Callithrix jacchus: one gene and its partners. The protein of the gene in region 3 purifies or fractionates together with the protein of the main gene of each other region. This does not show direct contact. Links are inferred from orthologs where the notes say so. Each region holds a gene or a part of one and is shown on either strand. Other genes may lie near its edges.

What was found.
Region 1: the proteins of CHAMP1 (region 3) and CBX5 purify together in Homo sapiens (affinity purification with mass spectrometry; 6 studies listed by BioGRID and IntAct, with this or other methods). This does not show direct contact. The link is inferred for Callithrix jacchus from reciprocal best matches to the Homo sapiens genes CHAMP1 and CBX5.
Region 2: the proteins of CHAMP1 (region 3) and CBX1 purify together in Homo sapiens (affinity purification with mass spectrometry; 6 studies listed by BioGRID and IntAct, with this or other methods). This does not show direct contact. The link is inferred for Callithrix jacchus from reciprocal best matches to the Homo sapiens genes CHAMP1 and CBX1.

What each region holds. Positions count from the first base shown.
Region 1 is NC_133510.1:65,304,247-65,311,782, forward strand, and holds part of CBX5 (chromobox protein homolog 5), read left to right. Parts: intron 1-3,170; coding exon 3,171-3,271; intron 3,272-6,885; coding exon 6,886-7,036; 3' UTR 7,037-7,536. UniProt on the Homo sapiens protein: Component of heterochromatin that recognizes and binds histone H3 tails methylated at 'Lys-9' (H3K9me), leading to epigenetic repression. In contrast, it is excluded from chromatin when 'Tyr-41' of histone H3 is phosphorylated (H3Y41ph).
Region 2 is NC_133506.1:118,213,972-118,221,419, forward strand, and holds the end of CBX1 (chromobox protein homolog 1), read left to right. Parts: intron 1-3,000; coding exon 3,001-3,145; 3' UTR 3,146-4,516; downstream 4,517-7,448. UniProt on the Homo sapiens protein: Component of heterochromatin. Recognizes and binds histone H3 tails methylated at 'Lys-9', leading to epigenetic repression. Interaction with lamin B receptor (LBR) can contribute to the association of the heterochromatin with the inner nuclear membrane.
Region 3 is NC_133502.1:29,684,622-29,692,257, reverse strand, and holds the start of CHAMP1 (chromosome alignment-maintaining phosphoprotein 1), read right to left. Parts: upstream 5,208-7,636; 5' UTR 5,067-5,207; intron 1-5,066. UniProt on the Homo sapiens protein: Required for proper alignment of chromosomes at metaphase and their accurate segregation during mitosis. Involved in the maintenance of spindle microtubules attachment to the kinetochore during sister chromatid biorientation.

The DNA of each region.
Region 1 (7,536 bases), on a different chromosome or scaffold from region 3:
CATCTCTGTCACAAGCATCCCTATTATCTTCATTCTACTTAGATATCTAACTTTCTAGAGCATTAGTTCTCAATCCTGGCTACACATTATACTCACCTGGACAGTGCTTTAAAAAAAAAAAAATTATCCAGTGCCTAAGATGCACCCCAGACCAGTAAAATTACAATTAAATTAAATTTATTTATTTATTTATTTATTTTGACAGAGTCTCACTCTGTCGCTCAGGCTGGAGTGCAGTGGTGTGATCTCTGCTCACTGCAGCCTCCACCTCCTGGGTTCAAGTGATTCTCCTGCCTCAGCCTCCCAAGTAGTGGGGACTACAGGTGTGTGCCACCATGCCCGGCTAATTTTTTATATTTTTAGTAGAGATGGGATTTCCCCATGTTAGTCAGGATGGTCTTGATCTCCTGACCTTGTGATCTGCCTGCCTTGGCCTCCCAAAGTGCTGGAATTACAGTCGTGAGCCATCGTGACCAACCTCTGTCCTTTTTAAAAATGAGCAGCCTGAATTATCTGGCTTAGAGACACTGGTCAGTGCAGAGAGTTTTGTTCCTAGGCCAGGTTCTGAAGCTGCCGACCTTGAAAACAACCCCTACGTGTCCCTTAGATCATAATGTTCATCTGGGGCCCCTGATAGCATTCTAGCAGTACTGGTTGCTGTCAGGTAGACAGTTGGGAAAATAGGTGATTATATGTTTTAAAGGTACAGAGGAGGGGATTGCATTTTTTTCTTAAGACCACTGCAGAAGAAATTTGTTAGTCTGCATTATGCCTGATTTAAGATTACTGCCTGTATGATGATTTTAGCGTTTTCTTCGCTTCGGCTCCTTTTCAGCAGCTTGAACATTTTTCTTCCATTTGCCCACCCCTTCCCCCCTCTATATAGCAAACTGTTTTCAGCTGTCAGCTATGATTTACAACTTAGTCCATGTGCCAGCATTCCAGCTGTGAGCAGCTGTGTGCACATCTGGGAACTTCTTCCCCTTAAGCACCCCCCAAAGAGGCTATGTTTTTAAAAGTCAGTATCTTTCAATGATTCATGCATGGAATTTCCTTCCTATTGAGGATTTTGGTATCTTTGGGGACCACCAAGACCCCAAATGCTTTCTGTGTCTGAGGAAAGCAAGGTGAACATAATCAGATCAAAAAGATTTTACTATAAGAATCATCAGTAGAGATTTAGCTCATTTGGGCATCTCTGAATCTTTTTTTGTGTTGCCACTGGAGAGGCTAACATTATCTTCCATAATAAAGTTTTTAAAAATTACCTAGCTTGGGCTGGGTACGGAGGCTCACACCTATAATCCCAGCTCTGTGGGAGGCAAAGGTGGGTGGATCATTTGAGGCCAGGAGTTTGAGACTAGCCTAGTCAACATGGTGAAACCCTGTCTCTACTAAAAATACAAAAATTATCCAGGCATGGCCAGGTGCAGTGGCTCACACCTGTAATTTCAGCACTTTAGGAGGCCAAGGCAGGCAGACCACCTGAGGAGTTTGAGACCAGCCTGGCCAACATGGTTAGCCCCCCGTCTCTATTAAAGATGCAATAACTAGCCAGGCCCAGTAGCGCACGCCTGTAATTCCAGCTACTTGGGAGGCTGAGAAAGAAGAATCACTTGAATCTAGGAGGCGGAGGTTGCAGTGAGCTCAGATTATGCTGTTGCACTCCAGTCTGGGCAACAGAGGGAGACTCTTGTCTCAAAAAAAAAAAAATTACCTGGCTCGAATAAAATTTTGCTTTTTAGCTCTCATCGGTGTTCCTACACCTGGATTAGAACCTGTGCTCCTTGTCTAGATTGTATTACTGAATTTAGACCAAGTTTCAGTACTCATCTCAGGAATTACCAGATTTTTTTTCTGGCTGGGTGCCGTGGCTCATGCTTATAATCCCAGCACTTTGGGAGGCCAAGGCAGGCGGATCACGAGGTCAAGAGATCAGGACCATCCTGCCCCACATGGTAAAACCCTGTCTCTGCTAAAATTACAAAAATTAGCTGGGTGCGGTGGTGCATGCTTGTAATCCCAGCTACTTGGGAGGCTGATGGAGGAGAACCACTTGAACCCAGGAGACAGAGTTTGCTGTGAGCTGAGCTGAGATTGTGCCATTGTACTCCAGCCTTGGCAACAGAGTGAGACTCTGTCTCAAAAAAAAAAAAAAAAAAGATTTTTTTCTTTCTTACTTTAAGAGACAGGTTCTCACTATGTTGCCCACCATGAAGCATAGTGACATGATGTAGCTCACTGCAGCCTTGAACTCCTGGACCCAGGGGATCCTCCCACTTCAGCCTCTTGAGTAGAGGTAGCACACTTCAGGTGTACACCACTGGGCCCAGCTAATTTTTACAATTTTTTTTGTAGAGATAGTTGTCCATGCTGGTCTCCAACTCCTAGTCTCAAGCAATCCTCCTACCTCAGCCTCCCAAAGTTCTGGGATTACAGGCCTGAGGCACTGCACCAGGGCAGGTTTTTGTTTTTGTTTTTGTTTGTGTTTGTTTTCAATTACAGTCCAGTTCTGCCCAGTTCTAACAGTCATCAACATCCAGAGGGGATAGGCACTGACCAGGGCCTTCTCTGTAACCAAGCACGTAGGTATTGGTGTTTGTGATCTCTGAAATTTGCCATTTAATAGTATTGGCTTTGCATGATTCTTATCTCTGTTCTTTCATAAATATAGGTGACTGTGAAATGTATTAAAATTATTGGTTAGTGTTAAGGCAAACTAAAAGTCTAAAAAAATAAAGATTGAGAGAGGTAAAATATTTAAAGTTTGTAAAATGAAAAGGTTTAGTTAGGGTAAACATGGTCTTTATCATTTCAGGAGCTTATTTAACAATATTAAGGATATTTTGAGTGAGTGGGATTAGAGGAATTCCTAGATGTTGACTTCAGAGTATCTTACGGAATACTGGAGACTTTTAGGGTTCACCTCCAGTCTTCTGAAGGAAATCCAGGAAAGATAACATCTTCCAAAAATATCTCTTGGCATCACTGTCACTTCATTGTCACTGTCAGTACTTAGTACTGTTATTAAGTTCTAAAAATTTTTCCAAATTGGTGACAGAAATGGTATCAGGTGATATTAACTTATATTGTGTTTTGTTGAGCCTAGAAATAGGGAGTTTCTCTACTCTTTCCACAAGCTATAACCTTTCTTCATCTTCTGTTTATAGCAGAGCAATGATATAGCTCGGGGCTTTGAGAGAGGACTGGAACCAGAAAAGATCATTGGGGCGACAGATTCCTGTGGTGATTTAATGTTCCTAATGAAATGGTGAGAAAGATTTGGCTTCACTTTACAATTGTGTTTCTTTGCCAGTCACTTGAATTCATGTGGAAAATAAAGTAGCAAGACTGCGTATTCCCAGACCATGAATTTTGAATGTCAGAGATCCTTAACTGATACCAATTATTGGTATTAAATGGGAATTATGGTTCAGAATGGATTTAAGACATTCTCAAGCTTTGTTATTAAGCCAAATTATAGTAGCCTACATATCAGGAAAAAGGTAAATTTGAGGTAGGAAATATATAAAGGCCAGGCAAAGTGGCTTATGCCTGTAATCCCAACACTTTGGGGGCCAAGGCAGGCAGATCACTTGAGGTTAGGAGCCTGGCCAATATGGTGAACCCCCATTTCTAATAAAAATACAAAAATTAGCTGGGCGTGGTGGCTCATGCCTGTAGTCCCAGCTACTTAGGAGGCTGAGGAAGAATTGCTTGAACCTGGTAGGCAGAGGTTGCAGTGAGCTGAGATCGAGCCATTACACTCCCACATGGGCACAGAGTGAGACTCCATCTCAAAAAAAAGAAAACATAAGCATGACATAACCATTTGTTTACACAGTTCTGAATTATTTACTGTAAGACCATGGGCCTGTGACCCTGAACTAGGAATCAAAGGAGACTTTGTGCCATCACTGAGGGCCAGACCTGCTGAATAATGTCTAAAAGAGAAAAATAATCTCAACAAAAAGCATTAAGGCTAATACTTGGCCAAATAACTTGGCCAAAGCACAAGTTATTTCATCCAGTATAGACCGAATGGCTCTTAGATGAAAGGGTAAGTAGTTCCTCTCAATTTGATTTATTTTTTTTTTTTTTGAGACGGAATCTCATTCTATTGCCTGGAGTGCAGTGGCATGATCTTGGTTCACTGCAACTTCCTCCTTCCAGGTTCAAGTGATTGTCTTGCCTCAGCCTCCCAGGTAGCTGGGATTACAGGTGCCTGCCACCATGCCCGGCTAATTTTTATATTTTTAGTAGAGAGGGGGTTTTGCCATGTTGGTCAGGCTGCTCTTGAACTCCTGACCTCAAGCAGTCTGCCCGCCTTGGCCTCCCAAAGTGCTAGGATTATAGGCGTGAGCCACTGCACCCAGCCCTCAATTTGATTACTTAAAAACGCTCAATTTGGCAGGGCACGTGGCTCACTCCTATAATCCCAGCACTTTGGGAGGCCAAGGCGGGTGGATCACGAGGTCAACAGATCAAGACCATCCTGGTCAACAAGGTGAAACCCCGTCTCTACTAAAAATACAAAAATTAGCTGGGCATGGTGGTATGCGCCTGTAGTCCCAGCTACTCGGGAGGCTGAGGCAGGAGAATTGCTTGAACCCAGGAGGCGGAGGTTGCAGTGAGCCGAGATCGCGCCATTGCACTCCAGCCTGGGTAACAAGAACGAAACTCCATCTCAAAACAGAAAAAGACCCTCAATTTGATTTCTTAAAAACAGAGTGATTTATGGTGTGGCCCTCACTGTTTCCAGGTATTCTGGGTTTATGATACATAGAGGGTTTGTGCTGCATTGCCACTAAAGAAACATGTTACCTTAAAAGTTGTGTAGTCAGCCGGGTGCAGTGGCTCCCGCCTGTAATCTCAGCACTTTGGGAAGCTGAGGCAGGCAGATCACCTGAGGTCAGGAGTTCTAGACCAGGCTGAGCAATATGGTGAAACCCTGTCTCTACTAAAAATACAAAAATTAGCCTGGTGTGGTGGTGGGTGCCTGTAGTTCTGCTACTTGGGAGGTTGAGACAGGAGAATTGCTTGAACCCAGGAGGCGAGGATTGCAGTGAGCCGAGATGGTGCCACTGTACTTTTAAAAAAAAAAAGCTGTATAATCAAAAGCTTATTTTATCTGATGATAGTGCTGCTGGTAAATTACCCAGAAGCCTGTGTTTGAAGAATTGTTATATTTTGTCAGAAATAAGGAGCTGTATGGACTGCTTGTTTTGTTTTGTTTTTGAGACAGTCTTGCTCTATGACCTAGGCTGGAGTGCAGTGGCACCATCTTGGCTCACTACAGCCTTCACCTCCCAAGTTCAAGTGGTTCTCATCCCTCAGCCACCCAAGTAGCTGGGATTATAGGCATGTGCCACGACATCTGGCTAATTTTTTAGTAGAGATGGGGTTTTACCATCTTGGCCAGGCTGGTTTTAAACTCCTGATCTCAAGCAGTCCTCCTGCCTCGGCATCCCAAAGTGCTGGGATTACAGGTCTGGACTGCTTTTTAAAAATTTTATTTTAGACAGGGTCTCACTCTGGCACCCGGGCTGGAGTACAGTGGTGTGATCACAGCTCACTGCACCTTTGACTTCCGGAATTCAAGTTATCCTCCTTCTCCAGTCTCCTGAGTAGCTGGGACTACAGGTCCTGCTAATTTTTTGAAAAAATTGGACACCATGGCCTGCTAATTTTTTGAAAAAATTTTTGAAGACATTAGGTCTTCCTTTGTTGCCCTGGGCTCAAGTGTTTCTCCCACCTCAGCCTCCCAAAGTGCTGGGATTATAGGTATGAGGCACTGTGTCTAGGCTGGACTGCTTTTTCTTACTCAGCCATACGTGTACTTATGATTTACATTTCATTAATTGGCTTTTTCCACCATAGTTTGAATTTGAGTGTCTGCTCCAACAAGGTGGTAATTTCCCTTGTCCTCATATCAGGATAATTTAATTTATTATTATTTATTTATTTATTTTGAGACTGGGTGTTGCTCTGTTGCCCAGGCTGGAGTTCAGTGGTTCAATCTTAGCTCACTGCAAACTCCACCTCCCAAGCCCAAGTGATCCTCCCATTTCAGCCTCCCAAGCAGCTGGGACCACAAGCGTGCACTACCATGCCTAGCTGATTTTTGTATTTTTTGTGGAGATGGGTTTCGCCATGTTGCCTAGGCTTGTCTTGAACTCCTGGGCTCATGCAATCCACTTGCCTCAGCCTCCCAAAGTGCTGGGATTACAGGCATGAGCTACTGTACGTGGCCTTCTCAGGATAATTTAATTTAATTTTTTTCTTGATTTGTAATCATGCCTAAGGGACCATGTGGCTAGATTTTTTTTTGTTATACTTGGTAGTAGAGGCTGTAACTGAGATAATTGAAATTTGTAGCTAAAGTTTTATTTGCTTGTTGTTCCAATCTATGGTTCTGACCAGAGGTGTAATGAGTATTTAAAAGGCCACAAAGTGAGGAGGGTTAAGACCTCTTCACTTAGACGATCTGGAAACTGGATTGACCAACCTGTGCATAATTGACTTAGGTGTAATCAATACAGCTGAATGTAGGTTTGATTGGGTTCACTCACATGCTCCTATTCACAAATAAAAATTATGGAAGCAGATTAATATCATTTATTATTCAGCTTTTTAAACTGAGCCTACCATGTTTTACATCTAAATTCTACCTGCAGACATCTGTTTCTGTATAATAGGATTAATATATTAATCCATTTACATAAATTTCTTCTTGAAAATATTAAAAGGGTCCTTTTCACCTTGAAATCAAAGTGAGGAGGAAATCAAGACAACTCAATCCATATAATGACATAAACTTATATCTGGACAGCTTCTTTCATTCTTACTTCCTCTCCTTTTAAGTAGCATATTCTTTCTTTCCAGGAAAGACACAGATGAAGCTGACCTGGTTCTTGCAAAAGAAGCTAATGTGAAATGTCCACAAATTGTGATAGCATTTTATGAAGAGAGACTGACATGGCATGCATATCCTGAGGACGCGGAAAACAAAGAGAAAGAAACGGCAAAGAGCTAAAGGAGGGGGTTTTCTCTGTCATTTCTCTTTGTACATAATACATTCACCTCCCTGCCTCCTCTCCCTTCTTCCCACCCCTTTCTATCCTAAACACATCCATAAAAAATGTGCTTATCACTGTGCTCCACAGGAGAAATGTTGGTATTGGTTTTCTTGTAACATAACTGATGGTCTGATTAATGATAAGTGTCTCTCTGTGAAGACCAGGCATTTACATACTGTGTGTAATACCCACAGTCTTTTTTTCCTTTGCCCTGATCTCTTCCTTCTGCTCCCCTATGACCTCAAGATGAGTTTGAACTTTTTCACCTTAGAGTCTTGATCTTTTCAGGGTTGGTCGCTTTTTAGATTGGGGGATTTTGTTACAATAATGTTGAATTTTGGTTTCTTTCTTGCTTTGGTTCTTAGAACATGTTGCTGACTAGCTGGCCTTTGTTTTGACATGTTGAGATGGAAAGGATGTTGCCCATCTTTTAAAAAGCCAATAGCAACTGCCTACC
Region 2 (7,448 bases), on a different chromosome or scaffold from region 3:
CCGGGTTTAATTGTTTGCCAGGCCGGTCTCGAACTCTTAACCTTATGATCCGCCTGCCTCAGTCTCCCAAAGTTTTGGGATTACAGGCGTGAGCCACCTTGCCCGGCCAATCATTGTATTTAAAGTTAGGAAGGAATAATTCTAAGCCATTGCCAATGCAGGCAGCATTCTCAAAACTTTGTCTTTTGAAATATATATACACACACAATGTCTGTGGAGCTTTATCCTTTTGACAGTCCAGAACTTTCTCTGAAACTCCTGTCTGTACTAATTATTCTCCTTTACAGTATGGCTGGAGAGGCCTAACTTTAGCATCACTGAAAGCCAGAGTCACAACTAGCTAACCTATGCATTCCCTAGGCAGTTACTGGAGCTTGACCCTCTTTCAACTGATTTATTGTTTACCTGTAGGATAAAAGTTAATTTTTAAGATGCTGCTTATGGGGTGGGAGAAGTTATACCATGAGTTAATCAGTCTAGCTAGAAGATACTTTTTCTGCATGTGACTAATGGGAGTTACAGTAATTGCTTACGATTGCATTCCTTTGGTTGACTCACTATTGTCTTTTTTTTTTTTGAGATGGGGTCTCGATCCTTAGCCCAGGCTGCTGGAGTACAGTGGTGTGAGCTCGGCTCACTGCAGCCTCTGCCCCCCCCGCCCCAGGTTCAATGATTCTCCTGCCTCAGCCTCCCAAATAGCTGGGATTATAGGCACCCGCCACCTCGCCTGGCTAATATTTGTATTTTTAGTTGAGATTGGGTTTCACCATGTTGGCCAGGCTGGTCTCAAACTCCCAACCTCAGGTGATCCACCCATCTCAGCCTCCCAAAGTACTAGGATTACAGGTGTGAGCCACTGCACCTGGCTGACTCATTACTGTCCACAGGTTAAAATTGGATTTGATTCTAAGACCAAGTACATTTTAAAAAGTTACTTTACTGGAGAATAGGGATTCTTGTATATTTCCGAAAGTAGCAAATATTTCTAAGCAGTGAAATGACTGAATGTAACTCAGAGGGTGTTGTTCAGCTGTTAGCAGATGGCAGCATGCTTCAGATTCCCATTTCCCTCCCATTCTCCTGGATCCATTGTTCAAAAACATTTTTTTTTTTTTTTTTTTTTTTTTTTGAGACGGAGTTTTGATCTTGTTACCCAGGCTGCAATGGTGCGATCTTGGCTCACCGCAACCTCCGCCTCCTGGGTTCAAGCAGTTCTCCTGCCTCAGCCTCCTGAGTAGCTGGGACTATAGGCGCGCGCCACCATGCCCAGCTAATTTTTGTATTTTCAGTAGAGATGGGGTCATCCATGTTGACTAGGATGGTCTCGATCTCTTGACCTCGTGATCTACCCGCCTTGGCCTCCCAAAGTGCTGGGATTACAGGCGTGAGCCACCATGCCTGGCCTCAAAAACATATTTTATCGGCTTACTCTTCTGCTCCATGGGACTCTGTGGCTCTTGTTTCCTGTTGGGGTTCTGGAGGTTTTGGGTGGTGCTTTGTCAGAGATCTCATCAGATATCTCCTGCTTGCCTTATACTACTGCTTCTGTCTAGGACATTCCTAATAACCTGAAGATAGGAATTTTTTTTTTTTAAATACAGCAAGTTGGTGCTGGAAAAAAAATTAAAAATTAAAAAAATATATATATATTTTTTAATGAGACAGAGTCTTGCTCTGTCACCCAGGTTGGAGTGTAGACCCCTGTTCACTACATCCTCCACCTCGCGGGTTGTTCAAGCAATTCTTGTGTCTCAGCCTCCTGAGTAGCTGGGATTACAAATGCACGCCAATATGCCTGGCTAATTTTTGTATTTTTAGCAGCAATGGGGTTTTGCCATGTTGACTGGCTGGTCTTGAACTCCTGGGCCTGCCCACCTTGGCCCTCCAAAGTGCTGGGATTATGGGCATGAGCCACTGCACCCGGCCTAAGAGTTTACTCCTAATTCCCTTATAATGTGTATGATTTTCAAATTTTGAAAACATTTTAAAATTCAGAAAAATATGGCCCCCCCATTTTCTGCCTCCCAGTGTTGAAACAACATTTCAAAGCACCTGGAAGTTACGTAAGGATAGCATTTGTAAATGTCAGTGTAATTATGATTATGCAAGAAAGTGTCCACTTTGATTTGCTCTGGCCAGTGCCAGATGTGGTATTTTTAATTCTACTCCAGGCTGGGCATGGTGGCTCAAATCTGTAATCCCAACACTTTGGGAGCTTGAGGCAGGTGGATCACCTGAGGTCAGGAGTTCAAGACCAGCCTGGCCAACAGAGCAAAGCCCTGTCTCTATTAAAAATACAAAATTAGCCAGGTGTGGTAGCACATGCCTGTAGTCCCAGCTACTTGGGGAGGCTGAGGCAGGAGAACTGCTTGAACCCAGGAGGTGGAGGTTGTGGTGAGCCAAGATCACACCACTGCACGCCTGGGCGACAGAGTGAGATTCTGTCTCAAAAAAAAAAAAACCTATTACAAAGCCAAGATTTCTCCATGTGTTCATATCAGCTGGGATATGGCTTTTGGAAGAGTGAGGTAGCCTCTCTTCCCTCAGAGATTCAAAAAAGTCATGCTTTTGGGGACCTTTCCGAAATATTCAGATGTGACTGGTTAAGTCCAATGACCTGGCTTTTGACATACACAAATCCCCAGAGGGAATTTGCAACAGGAGAGTATCTCTGAGGATGTCACTTGACATAAAGTTGCCAGTAAATGCTGCTTAGGCCACGTTTTCATTGTTCCCTGCCTATTTTTCTAAAATTACTAATTTTTTAATTTTTATTTTATTTTTTTTAAGATGGGTTTTCACCATGTTGGCCAGGCTGGTCTGACTCCTGACGTCAGGTGATCCTCCCACCTCTGCCTCCCAAAGTGCTGGGATTACAGGCGTGAACCACCATGCCCAGCCTAAAATTACTGTTTTTAAAAGTTCTATCCCCTGGCTTATTCAACTTATGATAGACCACTAGCAGTTGGTCTCAAAGTCTCTCTTTGCTTTATTCTGCAGGAAAAACTCTGATGAGGCTGACCTGGTCCCTGCCAAGGAAGCCAATGTCAAGTGCCCACAGGTTGTCATATCCTTCTATGAGGAAAGGCTGACGTGGCATTCCTACCCCTCGGAGGATGATGACAAAAAAGATGACAAGAATTAACTCTCCTGAGTACCAGCCCCTGTCACATCTGACTGTGGGTTTCAAGTGGGAAGGGAAGGAGTTCTACTTGTCTTGACACCACAGAGGTGGCTTGAGAAGATGTCCTTTGAAGAGCCAGTATAGTTTCTGTGCCCTGCAGCAGCCCAAGTGCTTTAAAGCCCTTACAAGCTGTATAGTTTGCACACCCATCCCAGTGGAGGGGAAGGGGGTAAGTGTTTCAAGGCAACCTTTTCTGCACTTTGCTGAGAAAAGCAAAGGGCCTTCTATGAAGGACAAAACTTGCAGAATTGGGTGTGTGGGAGAGCAAAAAAATACTGTAGATCTTCAAAGAGCATCTCCACAACCCACAGCCTTCTTCCCAATAGTGTTAACTCTGCATTTTTACAGCATAGCATGTGTGTAGTTTTTGGCTATTACTGGTGTATTATTTGGGGGAGGGAGGGATGGGGAGGGGAGAAAGGGAGATGGGTAGCATCATTTTAATTAAATTTGGGGGCCTGAAAGGGGAAATGGTGAAGCAATGGAAAGAACAGACAACTAATGATATGCTTCTGTGTCCAGAATATTTTACTTTTCAAAAAAAAATGTCATTGGCACCATAAATAAGGACTGTGAGAGACTGTTTAAAAGCTGTGAATGTCTGAAACCTATAAGCCAAGGTGTTCCCTGCCTAAACTTACTGCTGTTCCCCACAAAGGACTAAGCCAGTTAATAAGTTACCAAAGTTGCCATTTTGGAAATGGAAATTGACTGAGGAGGGAAGGTCTTTTATTGGAGAGTATACAGTACAAGCAGATCATTCTGTCTCAGAGGTGCTAATTCCTGAAATTAGAAAACCTTTCTTTTCCAATAACAAAATTATAAATATCAGCTTGTTCATCCAAGCCACTGGCTGAGGTGTTGGGGAAAAGGAAGAGGGTGGTAGAGGAGATAAGACAGTAGGGAAAGATAAGGGCCTATGCTCTTAGTGGGGAGAACTCTTGGAGCCATTCTGTTTTTTTTGAGGTTTGAACTCTGAAACCATTGGTGGCAGCGTTCAGTCACTGACAGCACAAGTTTCACTGAATTGATTCCAGAGTTGGGTGACTTAAAAAACCTTGGTCCCAGGAGAAGATTAAACTTTCATACTGGGCAGTGTTCACTTTAAAACACACACACACTTTTTTAAAGAAATCCTAAGAAGTAACATACCCAAAATACTCTGTCTTGAGTCATGAAATCCATCAGTTCTTGATATTGTCTAGACTTGCATCTAGGGCTACATTGTAAAATCTTTTTAGGCATGTGTTAGATTTCTGTGAAAACTTTGTTTAAATGTAAACTTCATACTACACTGTCAGTTTTTGTCTTAATAAAACTATAGATTTATAATCCCTGATTTCTGTCTTAAGTCTTCCCAGGAACCCTTCTTACCTTATAGGTTCAGCCTGTTGGAAATCGCATCCTCACTTGGATGGTTTTATTTCTTGCTACAGGCTTGAAAATCTAGTGCCTGGCCTGAATCTTTAAGTGGTCTCACCATGTTAATTTAGTAAATACTGAGCATTTGTTGCTGCAGGGATTGTAAAGATGGTCCCATCATGCTGTCTTCAGTATTGCTGAAAGTTTATTGAGCACTCTGACCTGATAGCACTTGCAAACTATGGTATATTTGGAAACATGGGTTTTTGAGTTAGGTTTAGATCCTGCCTCAAGTATGTAATAGACCTTGGCTAAATTCTACTTCTCCAAAATTTTCCAGGAATTGGCCCTGTGTTTGAGCACTGACTGAAAACATTTTCTGCCTGTGATTCTAGAGCCAAAATTATAGCAGAAATAGCATTTCCACTGATACCTAATCAGTATAACAGTTGAGCACTACTCACTTGTGCAAAGCATAGGTTTAAAATAAACTGATGTGTACTTTTCCAAAAGCCTCCTCAGGAAAGTTCTGGGGAGACATAAATGGAGCTGGGGAACCTTACTGAAGGTCTGGGTCACAGACAGGCCTTCCTCCTGCACAGAGGTCTGAGTGTGTGCCCTTGTGGTGGTTGGCAGTAGCACAGCCATCGGTAGCTAATTAAGGGAGTTTAGGTGGAGGTGTTCTGGTTCTGTTCTGTACCATCAAATGCACTGAAATGAAACTGCAGCCTTGGTTTGTATCCCAAATGGGCTACCAGTCAGCTTTGGCCTTAACCTTTGGAACTGACTTCCTTGTCATTTGTGGCATTCCTGAGCTGTTGTAAAAACTTATTCTCCACCAGAGAAAACAGTAATACTGCTGTGCATGCAGTGAAAACTGAGTTGAAACTAGACAGAATTTTGTTATTTTTGAAAGCCATTTAGAACATCACTAGATCTATCGTTTAAGGACCAACTTTTATGATTGTTGAGGTCACAAATTCAAACTGCTACAAATACAAATAGGCACAACAAATGTTAAGTCAGCTTGAGAAAATATTCAGAGGTTATTTCTTTGTTTATTGTTTGTTCTATTTTTGAAACAGAGTCTTGTTCTGTTGCCCAGGCTGGAATGCAATGGCACAATCTTGGCTCACTGCAGCCTCTGCCTCCAGGGTTCAAGCAGTTCTCCTGCCCCAGCCTCCCAAGATGCTGGGACTACAGGTGCACACCACCAGGCCTGGCTAATTTTTTTTTTAATTTTTAGTAGAGATGGGGTTTCACCATATTGGCCACACTGGTCTCGAACTCCTGACCTCAGGTGATCTGCCCACCTTGGCTTCCCAAAGTCCTGGGATTACAGGCATGAGCCACCACTCCCAGCCAAAGAATATTTCTTCAGACAGTGGAAAAACATGTTTGTTGGATGGTTTCCATAAAATTGCACCATCACAGATCTCTTGCCCGGGAATTAAAGAGGATATAAATTATCTTAGTTACTATTAGAAAAGGGGAGCTTGCTAATATTGTGAAATCATTATTACCTGAGGTATCCTGTACTGGCAGAGCCAGTAAAACAAAAGTCTTGCTCCTTCATTGTCTTAAGTTTTGTATTGTAAATGGATGGAACAACGACCACAGAAACACCCTTGACAGTGTTGAGTAATAATTGTTCCTGCATTTGATATCGTTTGAAAATTTTGACAACCGGCCAGGCCCAGTGGTTCGCGCCTTTAATCCCAACACTTTGGGAGGCCGAGGCAGGTGAATCACCTGAGGTCAAGAGTTCGAGACCAGCCTGGCCAACATGTTGAAACTCTTCTCTACCAAAAATGCAAAAATTAGCGTGGCGTGGTGGTAGGCACCTTTAATCCCAGCTATTTGGGAGGCTGAGGCAGGAGAATTGCTTGAACCTGGGAGGTGGAGGTTGCTCTGTGCAAAGATTGCGCCATTGCACTCCAGCCTGGGTAACAAGAGCGAAACCATCTCAGAAAAAAACATTGACAGCCAATTTTTTTTTTTTTTTTTTGAGATGGAGTTTTGCTTTTGTTGCCCTGGCACGATCTTGGCTCACTGCAAACTCTGCCTCCCAGGTTCAAGCATTTCTCCTGCCTCAGCCTCCAGAGTATCTGGGACTACAGGTGCCTGCCACCATGCACAGTTCATTTTTTGTATTTTTAGTAGAGACGGGCTTTCCCCACATTGGCCAGGCTGGTCTCGAACTCCTGACCTCAGGCAATCCACCTGCCTTGGCCTCCCAAAGTGCTGGAATGACAGGCGTGAGCCAGTGTGCCCAGCAATTTTAAGTAGTTTTCAATTTTTTATTTTTGGAGAGATGGTCTCACTCTGTCACCCAGGCTAGAGTGCAGTGGTGCTACCATGACTCATAGCAGCCTCATCTTCCTAGGCTAAAGGGATCCTCCCACTTCAGCCTGCTGAGTAGCTGGGACTACAGATGTGTGCCCTAATGCCCAGCTAATTATTATTATTTTTTAACTATTAGTAGAGATGGGGTCTCACTATGTTGCCCAAGCTGATCTTGAATTCCTGGGCTCAAGCAGTCCTCCTGTCTCTGCCTCCCAAAGTGTTGGAATTACAAATGTGAGCCAACACACCTCACCTAATTAAATTTTTAAATACCTATTTTCAGATATGACCTTATATTCCAGAACTCTCAGTTCTGTAGTGGCCATAGACTTGGCTCAGATTGATCTTAAACTCTGGCCATTTGGGGTTTGTCTGTGTGCGCGGCACGTTTTTTTGGACTGTGGCATTGGGAATCTGCATTATAAAGCAATTATTTCTCATAGTAAAAGGGAAAATGATAGATAGCTGGGATTAATGTGCAGGTTTTCTGATGAAGATATATCCTCATGTAAAATTTAAAGCTGATAGGACTGAACTAAGTCCAGGCTCAGGGTTA
Region 3 (7,636 bases):
CATTTCCAGTACAGCATCACCCTCTGGCACTGCAGTCCGACACCAACAACAGGTTGCTCTTGGTGAGGAGGGACTATCCATTTATTCACCTCTGGACCCACTGCACATCCCTGGCACACAGCATGTGCTCTATTCAATCTTAGACTCACAAGATTTTAAAACCAGAGGAAACCTAAGCTACCATCTATGTAGTATCAAAATCATAGGATTTGGGGGTAGGAAAAGACCTCAGGGATCATCTACTTTTAAAACTTCAATTTATAGTTAAGGAAACTCAAGCTTGACATTAACCAGCTTGCCCAAATCAGACAAAAGATCAGTATCTGAAGAGAGAATAAAGTTCTATCTGCCCAGGTTCTTGCTAGATATACACAAACTAATATAGTGGACTTTAGCAAGACCTTTTAAAGCCTGTACAATAGGCAAAAATAAGCAAGATGAAACAAACACTTAAAATCCACATATCAAGCACATAAACAAAGGACTATAGGGAACTATATCCCATATTCTGCACTGGGCAGAGTACACCATACCAGTGGATCGCTGTCTCTAGCTCTGGCAGAAAGGACGCTTTAAGAAAGTCTCTAACAAACTAGAGAACATGCAAAAACAAAAAGCAATCAGGATGGCAGGTGGCCTTAAAAAAAATCTTTATGAATACAGATATTTAACTTCAAAAGGGGAAGAATTATAGATAATATATAAGCTATACTATAAGTGACAAGAAGCCAGCAGCCAGTGGGAAAAGAATTTTGGCTCACCACAGTTAACAAAGTACTCTATCATGAACTAGAATGAGTTCTTAGTCAGATAAGAATACTCCATAATTAGAAGCCGATAATCAGACAGGGTGCAGTGGCTCATGCCTATAATCGTAGCACTCTGAGGCAAGCATATCCCTTGAGCTCAAGGGTTCAAGAACAGCCTGGACAACATGGTGAAACCCCGTCTCTACAAAACATACAAAAATTAGCCAGATGAGCAGTATGCACCTATAGTCCTGGCTACTCAGGAGGCTGAGGCAGGATAAACCACTTGAGCCTGAGAGGCAGAGGTTGCAGTGGACCAAGACTGCACCATTACACTCCAGCTTAGATGCCAGAGTGAGACCCTGTCTCAAAAAAGAAAACAAAAAAAAAAAAAGGAGCATCAAAAGAACTGATGATCAGCATAGGACTAGAAGGATCTTCAGAGGGCTTGAGTTCAACTTCTTCATTTTATACCTGAAAAGACTGATGCTGAGGGAGAGACATGACCTGTCAAAGATCACAAAGATCATTTAGGTCAGAGGAAACAGCAGTTTTTGATTCTGGCTTTCTCAATTCTGGATCTCTGCTATAACAAAATGCTGTCTTTCCCACAGTAGCACAACTATCCACAAAAATGTTATAGAATTGAGTCCCAGAATTTAACTTTTAGGCAGAGCCTAGAGAGCTGGGCATCCTTCCAGCTTTAAGGTTCCAGCAAAATTTCTTCCTAAATTTGAACTCCTACCCCTAATTAAAAATTAACTCAAAATGGTCCAGATTAACAAAAATTTCTTTGTGTCTTTATAGATTACATCTCGTCTCTAAAAAAAACCTAAATTCTAATCATTGGTGCTCTGCCAGTCTGTCACCCAGTATTCTTCAATGCAATGTTATGCCATATGGTGTATCATAACTATTTCCCATGTCCCATTCAATTCCTTCACTGAAGTCCAACACCACTGATCATCTTTTAAAACACATGTGATGCACAGTGTTTTAAATTAAAATTCGATATGTAGAACATGTTTAAAGCTAAATGGGTACTATTAGTCTATACACACTAGCATTGTTCTTTATCTTAGCTTTTTTTTTTAAGATGGAGTCTTGCATCAGTGCCCAGGCTGGAGTGCAATGGCGCGATCTCCGCTCACTGCAACCTCCACCTCCCAAGTTCATGTGATTCTCCTGCCTCAGCCTCCAGAGTAGCTGAGATTACAGGTGCACACGACCACACCCAGCTAATTTTTTGTATTTTTGGTAGAGACGGGGTTTCACTGTGTTGGCCAGACTGATCTTCAACTCCTGATCTCAGGTGATTCCCCCGCCTCAGCCTCCCAAAGTGCTGGGATTACCGGCATGAGCCACCCACCACGCCAGGCCTTAGCTGACCTTTTTTTTTAAGAGACAGGGTCCTGCTCTGTTGCCCAAGGTTTTAGTGGAGTGACACAATCACAGCTCACTGCAGCCTCATACTCCTGGGCTCCAGAAATCCTCCCACCTCAGCATCATAAGTAGCTGGGACTACAGGTGCACACCACCACATCTGATTAATTTGTTTTTGTTTCTGCAGCGATGGGGTCTCACTATGTTGTCCAGGCTTGTCTTGAATTCCTGGCCTCAAGCAATCCTCCTGCTTTGGCCTCTTGAAGTGCTGGGATTACAGGAGCCACCATGCCCAGCCTTTAAAAACTGGATCAACTGGCCAGGCGCGGTGGCTCATGCCTGTAATCCCAACACTTTGGGAGGCTGAGATGGGTGGATCATTTGAGGACAGGAGCTTGTGACCAGACTGGCCAACATGGTGAAACCCTGTCTCTACTAAAAATATAAATTAGCTGAGCATAATGGTGCACACTTATAATCCCAGCTACTTGGGATTGGCTAAAGCAGGAGAATTGCTTGAACCCAGGAGACGGAGGTTGCAGTGAGCCAAGACTGCACCATTGCACTCCAGCTGGGCAACAGAGTAAGACTCCATCTCCATAAGAATTAAAAAAAAAAAAAAGGAAGAAATGAATTTTTCAAGCAGTTTTATGTTTAAACAAAAACATACAAGAATTCCCATATACCTCCTTCCACCAACTCCCTAGCCCCCAGTTTCTCCTACTACAGAGAGCATCCCTAATCTGAAAATCTGAAACCAGACATGCTCCAAAATCCAAAACTTTAGAAGTGCCAAAAGGAGCATTTTGGCACTCAAACAGTACAAGCCAACTATTCCAAAATCTGAAAGTGGGGAGAAGGGAGAGGGGAGAGGGGAGATCCAAAGCACTTCTGGTTTCGAATAAAGGACACTCAACTAGTATTAACATCTTTTGTTAGTGTGAGACATTTGCTACAATGATGAACTAACATTGATTTATTAAGTCTATAGTTTACACAAGGAGTCACTTTTTGTTTTTTTTTTTTGACGGAGTCTTGCTCTGTCCACCAGGCTGGTGTGCAGTGGCGCTATCTCTGCTCACTGCAACCTCCGCCTCCTGGGTTCAAGCGATTTCCTGCCTCAGCCTCCCAAGGAGGTAGGACTACAGGCACTTGCCACCATGCCCAGCTAATTTTTGTATTTTTAGTAGAGATGGGTTTCACCATGTTTGTCAGGATGGTCTTGATCTCCTGACCTCATGATCTGTCCACCTTGGCCTCCAAAAGTGCTGGGATTACAGATGTGAACCACTACGACCAAGGAGTCACTTTCTGTGATGTGCAGTTCTATGGGTTTTGACAAATACATAGCATCATGTATCCACTGCTAGGGTAGTCACACAAAATTATTTCATTGCTTAGCATCTTCCTGTGCTCCTGGCAACCACTCATCTTTTTACTAACTCAGTAGTTTTGATTTCTCATGTGTATTTTTTAAAGGATGGTAAATAGAACATAAAACTTGCCATTTAGGCTGGGCACGGTGGCTCATGTTTGTAATTTTGCCACTTTGGGAGGCCAAGGAGGGTGGATTACCTGAGGTCAGGAGTTCAAGACCAGCCTGACCAACATGGTGAAACCAAGTCTCTACTAAAATTACAAACAATTAGCTCGGCGTGGTGGCGGGCGCATGTAATACCAGCTACTCGGGAGGCTGAAGTGGAGGGTGCAGTGAGCTGAGGTCGCGCCACTGCCCTCCAGCCTGGGCAACAAGAGCAAAACTCCGTCCAAAAAAAAAAAAAAATCACTTGCCATTGAATCATTTTTAAAATCACAATTTAGTTTAGTTCTAAAATGTAGTGCAAACATCACCACTATCTACGTCCAGAATCACTTAACCACAAACAGAAACTCTGTACTCATAAAACACTAACTCCCACTCTGCATTTTCAGTGCTGGTAATGTCTAATCTTTCTGTGTCAGAGGGGGAATCATGCAGTATTAGTCTTTTTGTGTCTTATTTCATTCAATATAATGTGTTCGAGGCTCGTTTATATTGTAGCATCTATCAGAATGTCATTCCTCAGGATGAACAATAGTCCATTACATGTAATATACCACAGCTTGTCTTTCATTCACCTGTTGATAGACATCTGGATTGTGAATAATGCTGCCATGAACATTTGTGAACAAGTAACTGAGTCCCTGCTGTCAATTTTTTTGGGTACAAATCTTGTAGAACTGAGGAACCACACCAATTCCCATAGCTGTTGTACCACGCTACATTCCCACCAGCAGTGCACCCGAGCTTCAATTTCTCCACATCCCCAACACTCATAATTTCCCATTTTTTGTTAGTAGCCATCCTAACAGGTATGAGGTAGTATCTCACTGCGGCTTTCATCTGCATTTTCTTAATGGCTAGTGGTGCTGAGCATCTTTGCACGTGCTTACTGGCCATCTGTCTATCTTCTCTGGAGAAATATCTATCCAAATTCCTTGCCCATTCTTAAGCTGGTTGCTTTTTGTTGGTCAGCTGCATCTCTTCTTGTATTCCAGACATTAACCCTTCACCATTCTCCTCTGCCGTTTTGGAGGCTGTATAGCGGATTTTTAAACAGTAATAATGACAGAGGAGGAGGCAGCCTAGGACTAAAGCGGAAAGAATGGCTTGCGTGCCGTGCTGCCCCCAACTTCCCAATGATTTCACATGCAGTGTTTCCTGCCTCGGCCGCGAGTGACACCGGGCCTCACCGCTCCCGGCACAAAGACGCACTCCCGCCCGGACTCCGGGGGCGGGCCCTTCCCGCGGCCGCGTAGGGGGCGAGGCGGCGCAGGCCCCCTTCACTCGGACAAGCGGCTTCCTCCCGGAGCGGCCCTGCCAAGTCGGCGGCCGACACAGGGCTCGGAGATGCAGGCCCCAGCCACGCCCTCCCCGCTCGCTCCGCTCCTCACCGGTCGGGCCGCTGGCGGCGTCCAGTGGGCGAAGGACGACCCGGAGGGCCCGGCTCGCGGTCGCGGGCGGCTCAGCCAGGCCCCGCAGCGCAGCGGCCTCCCGAATGGCGACTGGACGAAGGAGCCAGGATCCGGGTGCGCGAGCGTGCGCGTGCCCGCGGCACGGGCGGGGGCTGACGGGAAGCAAGTTTGGCGCCGCGCGCCCTCCGGCGCGGACCAATCAGATTGCCGATCGCGTGGCGCGGCAGTGCCACAAGTGCGTGGGCAAAACTAGCGACTCGCGCGGGCCTTCGGAAGTGCCGCGCGCCCGCCCCGCCACGCCCCGGAAGTGCCGCACGTGCCCACTCCGCCTCCGCTTCCCGCGCGCGCCCGGGTCGGCTCCGCGAGGGTTCAGCTGCGTCTGGCTTCTGGCCTCCCGCCGGGACCTTGGAATGGTCCGGGGCTGCCGCCGCCCTGCCGATATCGCTTCCTCTTCTTGCCTTTTTGATTGTTGTAGAAATGAATTTATTAGGAAAAAAAGAGCTGGACCTGCCCCATACATTGTCAGGGATACTTCTGGCATAATGCCTATGACAAAAATACAAACAAATCAACATAGTTCTTGGATGCCAATATTTCTTCTCATCACCTCTCCTCCAGTGAAAGTCCGATCCCCAGAAGTTATCTTCAGTCTTATGAATATTACCACCGCAATTCTAATTAAAATGCATGCACCTCTAATGCTGACGCCATCAGTCTGTATGCTTTGAAACACGGTGAAATTAGCTCGATGCTCTCTACATTTGAACCCTTCTGAAGTTTTACTTTTTATTATTATTGTGGTTAAAATAAACTACAGAATGGTCTGGCACTGTGGCTCAGGCTTGTAATCCCAGCACTCTGGGAGGCCAAGGCGGGTGGATCACCTGAGGTCAGGAGTTCGAGGCCAGTGTGGCCAACGTGGTGAACCCCGTCTCTACTAATAATACACAATTAGCCAGGCGTGGTGGCACATACCTGTAATCCCAGCTACTCGGAAGGCTGAGGCAGGAGAATCCCTTAGAACCTGGGAGGCGGAGGTTGCAGCGAGATCACGCCACTGCACTCCAGCCTGGGCGGCGGAACGAGAGTCTGTCTCAAATAAATAAATAAAAACAAAAACCATAGCATTTACTGTCTTAACTATCTCTATGTGTACAGTTCAGTGGTAGTAAGTGTATTCATAACACCACCATCCATCTCTGTAAGTCTTTCATCTTGAAAAACAAACTATGCATCACATGTTAACTCCTTGTTCCCCTCTACCTTCTACTTTCCGGCAGTCACCATCCTACTTTCTGTCTCTGTGAGTCTGACTACTCGTAAAAGTGGAATCATACAGTATTTGTCCTGTGACTGATTTATTTTACATAGCACAGTGTTCTCAAGGTTCATCCATTTTAACACTGAATACTATTCCATTGTATGGATGCCACATTTTGCTTATCCACTCACCTGCTGATGGACACTTGACTTGCTTCCCTATTCAAGATATTGTGAATAATGCTTTCACATTTTCAAAGAACCAGTTTTTGGTTTCATTGATTTTCTCTGTCGTTTTCTATTCTCTGTTTCATTTATCCTGGCTTTAATCTTTATTATTCCCTTCCTTTTGCTAGCATTGGATTTAGTTTCTTTTTACTTTTTTTTTTATTTTTAACGATGGGGTTTCACCATGATGGCCAGGCTGGTCTTGAACACCTGACCTCAGGTGATCCACCCTCCTCAGCCTCCCAAAGTGCTAGGATTACAGGCATGAGCCACTGTGCCTGGCCATTTAGTTTCTTTTCATTTATTTATTTATTTATTTATTTATTTTTGAGACGGAGTTTCACTCTTGTTACCCAGGCTGGAGTGCAATGGCTTGATCTCGGCTCACCGCAACCTCCGCCTCCTGGGTTCAGGCAATTCTCCTGTCTCAGCCTCCAGAGTAGCTGGGATTACAGGCACGCACCACCACGCCCAGCTAATTTCTTGTATTTTTAGTAGAGATGGAGTTTCACCATGTTGACCAGGATGGTCTTGATCTCTTGACCCACCTGCCTCGGCCTCCCAAAGTGCTGGGATTACAGGCTTGAGCCACCGCGCCTGGCCTCAGTTTCTTTTTATTTTTATAGTTCATTAAGTTGTAAAGTTAGGTGTTAATTTGAGATTTTCTTGGTTTTTGATGTATTTATAGCTATAAAGTCCTTTAAGTTTGCTTTTGCTGCATCACAAAAGCTTTGCTATAATGTGTTTACATTTTCATTCATTTGTATTTTCTAATTTTCCTTGTAATTTCTTTATCGCTTTTTCTGAGTGTGTTGTTTAATTTTCACAAATTTGTAATTTTTCCCATCATATTTTTTTTTTTTGAGACAGAGTCTAGCTCTGTTACCTAGGCTGGAGTGCAAGAGCACAATATTGGCTCACTGCAATGTCCGCCTCCCAGGTTCAAGTGATTCTCCCACCTCAGCCTCTCAAGTGGCTGGGACTACAGTCATGAATCACCATGCCCGGCTAATTTTTGTATTTTTAGTAGAGACGAGTTTTCACTATGTTGGCCAGGCTGG